Oryzias latipes: one gene and its partners. The protein of the gene in region 3 binds, or shares a complex with, the protein of the main gene of each other region. Links are inferred from orthologs where the notes say so. Each region holds a gene or a part of one and is shown on either strand. Other genes may lie near its edges.

Region 1 (3,654 bases), on a different chromosome or scaffold from region 3:
AAAACTCATCTGTTGCTACACAGGTTTTTAAGTCAGTGTTCGGGCTCTAAAAACAAAACACATGGCCGTTGATCTGGTGATGAAAGCTGAAACAGTTGAACTTGTGTTATTGGAATTATATAACACAAAGTCTTTCGTATCTTCTACGAGAGCTGTGATAGAAGAAGCCTGGAGCAAGATTCTAGAAATTTGCACTGCTTGGACATTTCACAACAAGCCTCTTCCAGCTTCAAAGACATGTGCAAGTATTGGGTAGAGACGTTCCAGTGTGACACCATATGCTTGTTAGTTTTGCACTAATTAAGTAAATCTACTTAAACTGGACTACAATACGATGAATGTGTGATGTAGAATGGTTTAAGAAAGAAAAAACAACCATCCATCCATCCATCCATCCATCCATCCATCCATCCATCCATTTTCTTCCGCTCATTCGAGACCGGGTTGGGGGGGCAGCAGCATAAAAAAAGATGCCCAAAATTCCCTCTCCTCTGCCACTTCCTCCAGCTCCTCTGAGGGGACCCCGAGACATTCCCCGACCAGCTGAGAGACACAGTCTCTCTCAACCAAAACACATCCCCAGGGAGACGTCCAGGAGACATCTGGATCAGATATCCGAGTCCCCTCAACTGGCTCCTCTCGATGTGGAGGAGCAATGGCTCTACTCCGAGCTCTCTGTGGGTGACCAAGCTTATTACCTTATCTCTAAGGGAGCGCCCAACTACCTTACAAAGGAAGCTCATTTCAGCCGATGATATTCGGGACCTTGTTCTTTCGTTCATGACCCAGAGCTCATGACGATAGGGGAGTATTCAAACGAAGATCGACTGGTAAATTAATCATATTTGTGTTTGACACAAAACAAACTGGGTGCTTGTTTTCATGATATGGTCTCTGAAGTCTGACACTGCCACCTGAACACTTTGTCTGTTGTGAAATGTGGTGCCTGTGTCACTTGATGCCTTTTTTCCTGTTCTTAGCTGACAGCTGTGACAGCTGATGTGGTCTTCTGTTGCCATTGTCTGTGAATGCGATGATGTCCTCCAGCTACCTTTGTTGTAAAGAAGGGATATTTGAGTTACTTTGGCCTTTCCATCATATTAAACCAGTCAGGTGATTAAATTCTCCGACATCCAGCAGGGCTTTTTACTCAAAGAAAAGCTCAACATTTAACAAGCTTTGCCTTTTTTTGCCTAAAGTTTCAGTCTACAACGACACTCACAACGTCCTTGGCAATACGCGTTCAAATGGCCACTTTTCATTAGTAAACAGTAAACAAGGGTAAAGGCACATTTTGCGCTACCATGTTCATAACTCTTGCATTCACCTATAGCTACACAAGTTTCTAACACAGTTATCGGGCTTTACTTATAAAATGTGCATCCAATAAACACGCTTTAAAATTACACCAGATCGAACTTTAACTAATTAGGGTTCCGGATTTGGTAATGATGAATGGTTTGCCTTTTAATTCACGGAAGTACCAACTGTTTGAAAATTGAACGTGGAGGAGAAATTAATAATTGTGGCTTTTGCCCAGCCGGTATTATGTGACACCAAGTCTTTCATATATCAGAATAGAGCTGTGAAAGAAAAAGCCTGGAGCAAGAGTCTAGAGCAGGGCTGCTCATTCCTGGTCCTCGAGATCTGCCACCCTGCCTGTTTTCCAGCTCTCCCTGCATTGCTTGCTGCTGATTACCTGGATCAAGTGTGTTCATTAAATCATAATTTGGAGACATCTGATTGAGCTAATCAGCAGATAGCAGGGCTTGGAGATCTGGAAAACAGTCAGGGTGGTAGATCTCGAGGACCAGGAATGAGCAGCCCTGGTCTAGAGATTTTGCATTTTACTTCAACATTTCACACCAAGCCTCTTCCAACTGTAGGTGGTGAACATGTGCTAGTATTGTGTAGCAACAACCCATATGCTGAACATGCCCGATGTGAATGTGGCATGAGTTTTTCCTCTCTGTTGAACAGGTGCTTCTGACACATCTAAACCAGGCAACATGCAGTCATTTACTTTTTTCCAGTCTTCCAGTCTCTGATAATCTTTTGATCTATTGTAAAAGCATTCTTTTATTTATGATTATACCGTTATAAGGCAAAATAAAAATAAAAAACTTTGTTGTTTATAGGACATAGTTTCTGCAGAGCGACAGGAGTTCATAAGAAATTTGCCTCTGAGTTGGGGGCAGAGCAACCAGGGTCGGTTGGGTCCCTTTTCCCACCCCATTATTGAGAGCTTTGTGTTTACACACTCTTGCTAGCTTATAGCCTCTCATACCTCCAACCTAACAAAATCAATTTTGGAGCTATCCAGCCGTACAGTTTTGGGCCAGCTGCCAGCTTGAACGAGAAAAACAAAGACGCACATGGATCTATTTGTCTGCACGTGCATGCATCAGAATGGGGCGGAGCAGGGAGCTCGTGGCCTGCCTTCTACGTCACAAATCTTGTTCAAACACCATTCTTATGTCTGTTCCTGATATACGTTTTAAATAAAAAAATACTCAGAAATACAATTTTAAGCTTCATATATGTCCTTCATATGTGTCCTAAATCAACAGAAAAATGCCGCAAGAACATGTTAAAAACACCAAAAACACAAATTTCATTGGAGTGGGTCTTTAAAGGTGGTTTACATTTAGCAAGAAGCATGTCTGTGTCTACACAAAAACCACTGCCGTACAGTTAACTGATCAAGACTTTGAGGCATCAAGAAGAAGAAAATATCGCGCAAAAGGTCTTCTCAATGTGTGTGTTGCCCAAAGGACAGATTATTTTGAGTAATCTTTCAAAGTTATCTAGAGTAAAAGCTGAGAGACATTTGAAAGTTTTTCCTGTCAATCTTTTAATATAATTCCCTTTAAAGTAAGTAAGATCTGTTAGATGATTGGGTCTCAAGTGAGTAGCGAGCATGGTCACCTGTAGTGCAACATTTCCTTCTCACCTTTGAAGCCCGCTTCTCATTTTTTATGGCCTGCATCATCCCCCGTCGTCCGTGGCAACCTGACGCATCACTCCGGCCAGGCCCAGCGGCTGGAGAACTGAGCTGTGACGCCACCTCAGAGCTGGGAATGATGCTGATGCTGTCAGAGGTGGAGGCACTGAGCAGAATGCTGGGCTCGGCCCCCTTCAGGCAGCTTAGAGTGTTTCGCCTGCTCTGAGGGGCTGCTGGCTTCACCTCTGCAGGAAAGGAAGAAGAGCAACAACTTGTGGATCGGGAACTTAAAATATATAAATATTAAAGTAGAAATACCCTACAGTATGCAATTTTATTTTTGAGGTTTTTCTTTAGCTTTGAAAAGCAAATCTGAAACATGAGGAGCCTCATGGTTTCAAAGAAAAGTGCAGCCCGTGCTGGAATCAATAACAGCAATAGCTTTTTGCTATTAACAGTGGTGCTGGCAATTTGCAGGAAAGCAGGGATGTGGCAGACAGGTGGGCATTTAATTCACAATTTTCTTGTCTGGATTGGACAGACGCAGAGCATGTGGAAGGGCGGCCATATCCTGCACATTTATCTCTAAATGGATCAAGCTATGTATATGCTGCTCTAAAATGATTTGATAAGATCACTGCTGGGAGAAAAAAAAAGAAAAACTTTCTTCGACTTCTTCCTCCTAATAACTGTCAGTGTCACCTGTTCGG
Region 2 (3,754 bases), on a different chromosome or scaffold from region 3:
TATATGTAAAAGCTCAGAAAAATTATTTTTTTATATGAGTTTGTTGTAGCAGAAAAATGTTAATAAGCAACAATTGCATATAGACTGTCATATGAATTTAAAATGTTTAACGTGAAAATAAAGCACTGTAGCAAATGTTTATAAACTCAATTAAAAATGTGTTCAAATCAGAAATACACATTTCTAATTATTACTGAAACGTCCATTTGCAAATTTGTTTTTTAAAAACGAGACAAAACGTTTACGAGTAAATAATAGGAATTAATTGTTTTGAAAAACCTAGTTTTCTATTATTTTAAATTGTGTAATAATTATTTCTGATACTTCTCTCATATACGTATGACTATTTGGCAAAAACCTTAAACAAATCAAGCACATTTCTTTGGGTTTGGACAAAATAAAGACATTTCCGAGGGAAGACATTCTGACCTTATATCCAAGTGTATTTTTTTTAGTGGACGGTGTGACGCCGAGGAGCCAGAAGACGACGACACTGACAGCATTCACAGCACCGGATGTGCAGTACAGCCACAACAGGTGAGTGCCGTACACCGAGAAGCTTAGAACAAAAACTGCAGGTAGCACCGTAGCCATGAACATCGAAGCGGCGATCAGAGCGTGGGTCGACACCATGGCTCTGATTTCGTGGTCCCACATGATGAAGACTTTCACTTTTCACAACAAGACAATAGAATAATGTAGATAATTTCAGTAGAGGTGTCTTAGAATTTTGGTAGGCGAAAGGACACGCAAATCCATGTATGACTACGCTTCCGTAAATATGAAAAAAAAAAAGCAATTTCCGTTTGCGTTTCACAATAAAACAGAAGATTCTCTTTTGATTGTTAATTTCTACCAATTTCTTTGTTTTGACATACATTACCCAACATATTTAAATCATATTCAACACTTTATAATAAAATACTATTTTCTAAAGTGAAATTTATATTTTCGAGTGCTGATTCCGTGGCGAAAATATTGTTACTCTCATTTTACTTTTATTCTGGATTTTAGAAATGCGCTTCTAGTCGGAGTGAACGAATCACATAACGTTTTACTGACAGGATTACCCAATGAGATTTGTTTGTACAAGTTGACGAAGACAACCGGAAGTTACATGAGCAGAGCTAGCTTGAACGCTTGTACACATTTTATATCAAGACAGGCCAAGTAAACGCAGCTGAGATGGTTTGTGAAAAATGTAAATATCGCACTTTCGCCTTGTTTCTTACATAATTTTACACTTATGACTTAGTTAATATAGTTAGTTAGTGACATTTTTGTTGTTTTGTTGAGTGGCTAATATTTTGTTATGCTAGCATTTGTTTTGGTTTTCCTTGCTCGTAGTTAGCTTTGTTAATTATTAATAATTCTTTGTTAATGTGGGATTTCCTAATATTTTAGGCGAAAAGAAGCTCGGAAAGGTCATCACTCCTGACACTTGGAAGGATGGAGCACGAAATACGACTGGTAACGTAGTCTCTATCCAAAAACATCCAAAAATGTTTACACGTTTAATAATTTAGACAATCGTGGAACGACAGGTAAAATAAATATGTTGCCCCCAAAAAATCTGTCTTGTAAATGAACGTCATTAAGGAATCGAAACGATGGAAGGAGAAGCTACTGCTAAAATATTTATTAGAACAGTACTCATTTACATATCTGTTTTCCCCGTCGGTCGGTCGGTCGGTCGGTCGGTCTGTCTGTCTGTCGGTCTGTCTGTCGGCTCATTTTCGGCCTACATCATAAAATTGTCTATTTATTTAAAAGTATTTATGCCCTACGTTCCTTTTCAAGAAAATGGTCTGTGACCCTGTCGTACCAACTAGGTGTCTCAACTGACTTGACCAATGTCCTCTCAATGGCCAGCAGAGCTAGGCTGCTTAAACAGCCTTAGCCCATTGTGTTTCGGGTGTAGGACTTAAGTCACTTTAAACAGGAGAAGCTCCTTTCTACACCTGCAGATGTAACTCCAATTGTTGCCACTAATGAGAACAGTTTGTAAAGCTGAGGCATTGGACTGTCCAACTCCATGTCTTTAAGGAACACCAAGTAATCATACAGCTTTCCCCTGTTACCCTGCAAGTCCTGATCTGAAAACAGGACTTGAAGTTCTGACCTCAGTCTTCCTGAATCAAAGGGAAGAATTAACTATCTAAAAAAAAATATTAAACTCTGTAAAACTGAAACAATCAATGTGGTGTATAATTGTGTGAAATGTATGATGAAAATCAAGCAATTTAGCCCAGCAATTATCAAAGAAATAGGTTGCAGCAGTTTTTAGTTCGACTGAACTTGAGAAATGTGAATAAGCGAAAAGCTTCAGTCAGAAGGCGGTCTTTTAACAGACCCTTCAATCATCACGGAGAAGCTCGGAGTTTGGGCTGGCCCACTCCCCACTCACCCCCAGAGACGCTGAGCATCCGTTGGCGGGACATAATCACAGCGTTTATCCAATGACCATCTAGTTTCGAAGCGCAGAAAAAAAATGTTCAAAGCAGCCCGATTGAAGTCAATGGACGCTGGGCTTCTTTAGAGAAATGCACTGTGATGCTGCGGGAATGTATGAGAAGGAAATCGAGTCAGGCGACTTGCTATATGTAACTGATTCTTAACGAACTCGTCTTTGAGATGAACGTTTTCTTACACATTTTTAGTCAATAAAATGTTAATAAAATAAAATACAATACAATACAATAGTACATATTTGACCATTTATTTTGTGACATTATAAGGGAAGCAGAGCTTCCCTTGCAGTCTTAAAGAAATCGCCACTGGTATGTATGTATGTACATACATGTGTATATATAATCTCACAATGTTGTTTTATTTTTCTTAGAGAGTGGAGGCCGTAAACTAAATGAAAACAAGATGTTGACATCTAAGAAGGCCAGGTGAGTATTGCACTGTGAAAAAACTTTTACTCATAAATCAAATGGCAGTGTAGTAGTTTCTAGCTTTCTGTAAGCACTAGTGGTTTATTTTGCTGTTAAGGTTCTTTGATGTTGCTAATTCTCAATGTTTAACTGTGGTTTTTCTCAGGTTCGACCCTTACAGTAAGACGGGCTTTGCCATCTGCAGAATCTGCAAGAGCTCTGTTCATCAGCCTGGATCGCACTACTGCCAGGGCTGTGCTTACAAGAAAGGTATAGTTGTGCACTTAAACTCTATTTTTATTTTCTTCAATACAAATTGAAGGTAACATGTCAAAAATTAACACTACAATGTATTGTAGAACCAAAAATCATATTAAAGCAGAACAGTATTAAGTAGGTTTTTCATTTTTATGTTCAGTCATAATATTGATATAAATTTGTCTGTAATTTTGTAAATCTTTACTATAACCAACATTGTGCTGGCATATGTTTGTGCTTCCATAACAGATGCCCATTTATATAAATGTACACATGTTGGCAAGTCCTTTATTATCTTCTCACTACACACTTTAATTTATAAAATATCCTTTGATGTAAATGTAATTTTTTTAGGGTTCCTGGTGACTGATACAAAGAATTTAAAGGTATAGGAATAGGTTAACTTAACTGTTTGTTTATGTCTGTAAAGTATTTGAACTGAGTGATGAAATTCAAACCTCAAAAGCCATATTTTTACAAACCTCGACCCCAGCCCCAAGCACTCGGCTTGCAGAAGTGGATACAAGGTTTTACATTGATTGCAGAATTGCATGTTGTGCCCCAAATATTGCAGGTTTTGATGAAGTGGTCAAAAATAGCCCCTGAGCTAAAAATTA
Region 3 (3,654 bases):
GCCCTGGCACATCACACTATCCTTCTCTCTATACGAGAATTTGGACACTTTAAAGGCTGCTTTTATTGTCTGTAAGAAGCAAGACAGTTTGTCTTGCAGACAAGACAGAAAATTGGCATTTTGGTTTAGCTGATGCCAGAGAAGGCCTGAAGAAGGTAATCCATATCCAGTTCCTATAGTAACAAATAATCAAATGTTTTAGAAACTAAATTTGCTCCATTTTTAGTCAACTGAATGAAAAAAAAACATTTCTGTCATTTCTTCCTAACAGCTGCTGTTGTTGGCACAATGCAGAAATCCATGTGGCGTGTGCACTTATCAGTGGGAGGCCCCTATGAGGACTTATGAGAGTTTTTTTTAAGGAGAATAAAATGTCCTGGCCAGAAAAAAAATGTTTTGTTCCCACAGCTGTATGTGCAGGACAGAATGTCTTACTTTCTCATCAAGAATGAACCGCCAGTAACTCTTCTGCACATAAACTTACAAATCCACATCTTTGGGCTGACTGAGAGGAGGAAGAACGTATTGGGACTCAGCCGTATTATTATTGATTACTAGACTGAGGCCTAATTTTCAACCTCTTACCTTCTCTGCTTTGCTAAAGGGTTGTCCAGGATAATGTAGAAATGTTAATACTGTAATCACTCCTAAAAAAAAATTTAGGAATTCACTGTATATACATGTCAGTATGCATGTTTCAGGGTTAATATATTGTGCAAAATCAACATAAGAAGTTAGGATTACATTTAATGAGCTGTTGTATAGTATCGTTTTAATGTTGTACTGTATATGTATTAATAATCTCAGAAATGGCAATTCTTTAGAGCCACATGTTGGCTACAGTAGTAAAAATTAATTTACATTTAGTGAATGGAAGAATGAAATGTTATTGTCAATGGAGTCAGATGTCAAAATGGCATCACATTTGATTAAATTTTCTTTTAAATTATTGCCAAGAACAGTGGTTAGTCATAATTGAAAACAACAACAACACATACTGTATTTATTGGACCATTATTAAAAATAAAACATTTTAATGAAATTTTCCCCCTATTGTTACCTTTGGGAACTTGATATTCCACTTGGAAAAAAGAAATTCCAACATCTGATGAACCAATTTCTAAAGAGCATGCAGGTTAAAGACCAACTCTGAGGAAAACTGTGTTTTTGGTGTTTTAGCATGTTCTTGTGGCATTTTTCTGATGATGGAGGACATGAACATATAGAAAATTAAGCCTTGTCTTCGCTTTCCTCGCCCAAGCTGACATCTGGTTTTAAAACTGTATGCTTGTACATGGATCTAGTTATCTACAAGTGGATGCATCAGCAGGGAGCTTGTGGCTTGCCGTAGTAGCTTCTGCAACACATTTATAGGCTTTTTCTAACTGCAATTTGAAGCATAATTTTCTTTTTATATGTCCTCCATCATGAGAATAATACCACAACTATATGTAAAAAACACAAAAAACTATTTTTTCATTGGAGTGAGTCTTTAAGAAAAAGAAAAAGTGCAATTTTCTCAAAAACGTCGTTATTCAAAATTCATCACATGTCTTCATCGGGAAAAAAGCTCTTATTTTTTCCTTAATCTTGTTTTCTGTGGTGCCACGTTGGTTTTTCCATTAGATTTTGTAAGGGAGTAAGAAAGGAAACAACGTGTTGGTGCTTTACATCAAACATTTATAGTCTGGCTTCATTGGTCCACATGTTGTTTTAAAGCAGCCCCCCAGCTTCTCAGCCTTTCACATTTTTTGAAAGCTGAAGATAGGCAGCAGTGTGCTATTTGGGATGCAGTCATTTTTAATTAATTCCCCTACTTTCACTGCTCACAGAGATACAATATTGGATCATCTATTTTTAGGACCTGTTTGAAATATTATTATGTTTTTGGTCATATTTATGCAGTAAAGCAGAGAATTTGTTCGCTAACTTGGGCCTTAAATGATGGCAGCACTAAACACAAAAATTAGGCTTTGAATTGTCAGACAACTCATCGTTCACATGTTCACATCATAGCTTTCTTTACTTATTTACACTTTGTGACCTGATGCTGTGTTTACAGATTCTTTGCCAATAACAATGCTTCGCAATCTTCCTCTGGAATAATGAGCCCCTCACAAGCATATCTGAGGGAGTTAAAAGCAGTAAAACAGTGCTGTTTTGGGGAACTTGGAGCATTTTAGCATTTTAAAGACGTAATTAGGGCAGATCTCAGCAGTAGACAGAAAATGAAAGCCAGGTCTCCATGCAAATCTGTTACTGTTTTGTTTCCAACAAGCTGTGAACAGCTGCGCTTCATGGCATCTTATCAAACACTTAAAGAATAAATATGTGGGAGAAAGTGTGTTAATATTAACATAAAGGAAATTTGGCGAGGTCTTGATGTTTCATAAAATAGTGCTGATTACTGGTTATTTGCTACACTGTACACATCTGATAAACACTCACTCTTTCATCTTTATATCCAATGCTTCCATTTTTCTACCTCCTATGGTCTATCCGCCCCTTTTTTTCTAACGTTTCCTCCTCCTTTGTTTCCTGCTGCAGCTGTCGTGGAAGGGGACAGCTTTGAAGAGGTATATCACAAAGTAAAGACAGTGGTTGAGGAACAGTCGGGGCCTTACATCTGGATCCCAACTCGGGAAAGGCTGTGATGCTGCCTCCGCCCAAACGCCGCTCCCTCACAGCCACCGACCCGACACCGCCCTTCACCTTCACAGCCAAGCCGGCCTCGCCTGTCTGTCTGTATGTCTGTCCTACAGCAACGTCAGAGCTTTGGCAATCACTGCAAAACAAAGAGGCCGACACACAGGAAGCAACTCAGCGAGGCAAAGACAGATACCAAAAAAAGAAACTGCGCAGATGTGAACACAGTGAAAAGATCTAATCAGTATTCCACATAGATGAAACAGGACTGAACACTGAAGCCCTGAACACACTTAGCATTAAATGCACCTTTGATACGAGCTATGATTGCATCTAAAACTGGGGGAAGGCAAACGTCCTAAACGCTTTAGTGATGCTAAATAACCCGTGTGTGTGTGGGTATGTATGTTTGCGTGGTTTTATGCATATTTAGAAGCCTTTGCATTTTCTCACCAGATCAATAGCAAATGAAGTGAATTTAACACACAGAGGGACTAGCTGCAACAGATCTGAGTTGTATTTTCACGCCAGGTTCTCCACACCGTCTAGATTTTTCTGGACGACAGGCAGCTTGAAAGAGAGCAGGGGGGGGGGGATTTGGCCTAGCACAGATGAAGTGTTAAGAGCACCTCATCCCCTGCAGTCATCTCAAGTCTCATGCCTGCACTGAACACCTCCTAGCGCCAATGCCTCCTGATGTTCAAAGAGATACTGGCCCCTTGTTTTATATGGTCTCTTGGCCTTCTGACCTCCCCCTCGACCTAACAACTCCCCTTCTTTCAAAAAAGGGTGCAAGACCGGGAACTGGTTTGGGACGGGGGGATCTGGCAGATGCCACGAGTCTTTTCTTAGCAAAGACCTATGTTTTATAAGACTCTTCTTGGTCGCTGGTGTGAGCTCAAATAACACCTCAGAGACCAAGACTGACTTTTGTTGTATCACTCATCTTAAATATTGCAAGTCTTTATTTAAAGGAAGTTCAAATAACTATAAAGATAATCACTCATT

The links.
Region 1: the proteins of disks large homolog 4 (region 3) and 5-hydroxytryptamine receptor 2C-like are in contact, whole or in part, in an NMR structure (PDB 2MHO), measured with the Rattus norvegicus proteins. The link is inferred for Oryzias latipes from reciprocal best matches to the Homo sapiens genes DLG4 and HTR2C. Residues at the interface, in NP_062567.1 of Rattus norvegicus: Gly74, Leu75, Phe77, Ser78, Ile79, Ala80, Asn85, Pro86, His87, Ile88, Thr97, Lys98, His130, Val134, Leu137, Lys138; in NP_036897.2 of Rattus norvegicus: Val452, Val453, Ser454, Glu455, Arg456, Ile457, Ser459, Val460.
Region 2: the proteins of disks large homolog 4 (region 3) and cript are in contact, whole or in part, in a crystal structure (PDB 5HED), measured with the Rattus norvegicus proteins. The link is inferred for Oryzias latipes from reciprocal best matches to the Homo sapiens genes DLG4 and CRIPT. Residues at the interface, in NP_062567.1 of Rattus norvegicus: Gly322, Leu323, Gly324, Phe325, Asn326, Ile327, Val328, Gly329, Gly330, Glu331, Asp332, Glu334, Ser339, His372, Glu373, Ala376, Leu379, Lys380, Arg399, Phe400; in NP_063972.1 of Rattus norvegicus: Lys94, Asn95, Tyr96, Lys97, Gln98, Ser100, Val101.

What each region holds. Positions count from the first base shown.
Region 1 is NC_019876.2:20,439,843-20,443,496, forward strand, and holds part of 5-hydroxytryptamine receptor 2C-like, read right to left. Parts: intron 3,190-3,654; coding exon 2,954-3,189; intron 1-2,953. UniProt on the Homo sapiens protein: G-protein coupled receptor for 5-hydroxytryptamine (serotonin).
Region 2 is NC_019877.2:12,480,993-12,484,746, reverse strand, and holds the start of cript (cysteine-rich PDZ-binding protein), read left to right. Parts: upstream 1-1,072; 5' UTR 1,073-1,185; coding exon 1,186-1,201; intron 1,202-1,404; coding exon 1,405-1,470; intron 1,471-2,842; coding exon 2,843-2,897; intron 2,898-3,045; coding exon 3,046-3,149; intron 3,150-3,754. Other genes in the region: pigf (phosphatidylinositol-glycan biosynthesis class F protein), read right to left, coding at 430-657. UniProt on the Homo sapiens protein: As a component of the minor spliceosome, involved in the splicing of U12-type introns in pre-mRNAs. Involved in the cytoskeletal anchoring of DLG4 in excitatory synapses.
Region 3 is NC_019872.2:14,414,355-14,418,008, forward strand, and holds part of disks large homolog 4, read left to right. Parts: intron 1-2,547; coding exon 2,548-2,654; 3' UTR 2,655-3,654. UniProt on the Homo sapiens protein: Postsynaptic scaffolding protein that plays a critical role in synaptogenesis and synaptic plasticity by providing a platform for the postsynaptic clustering of crucial synaptic proteins.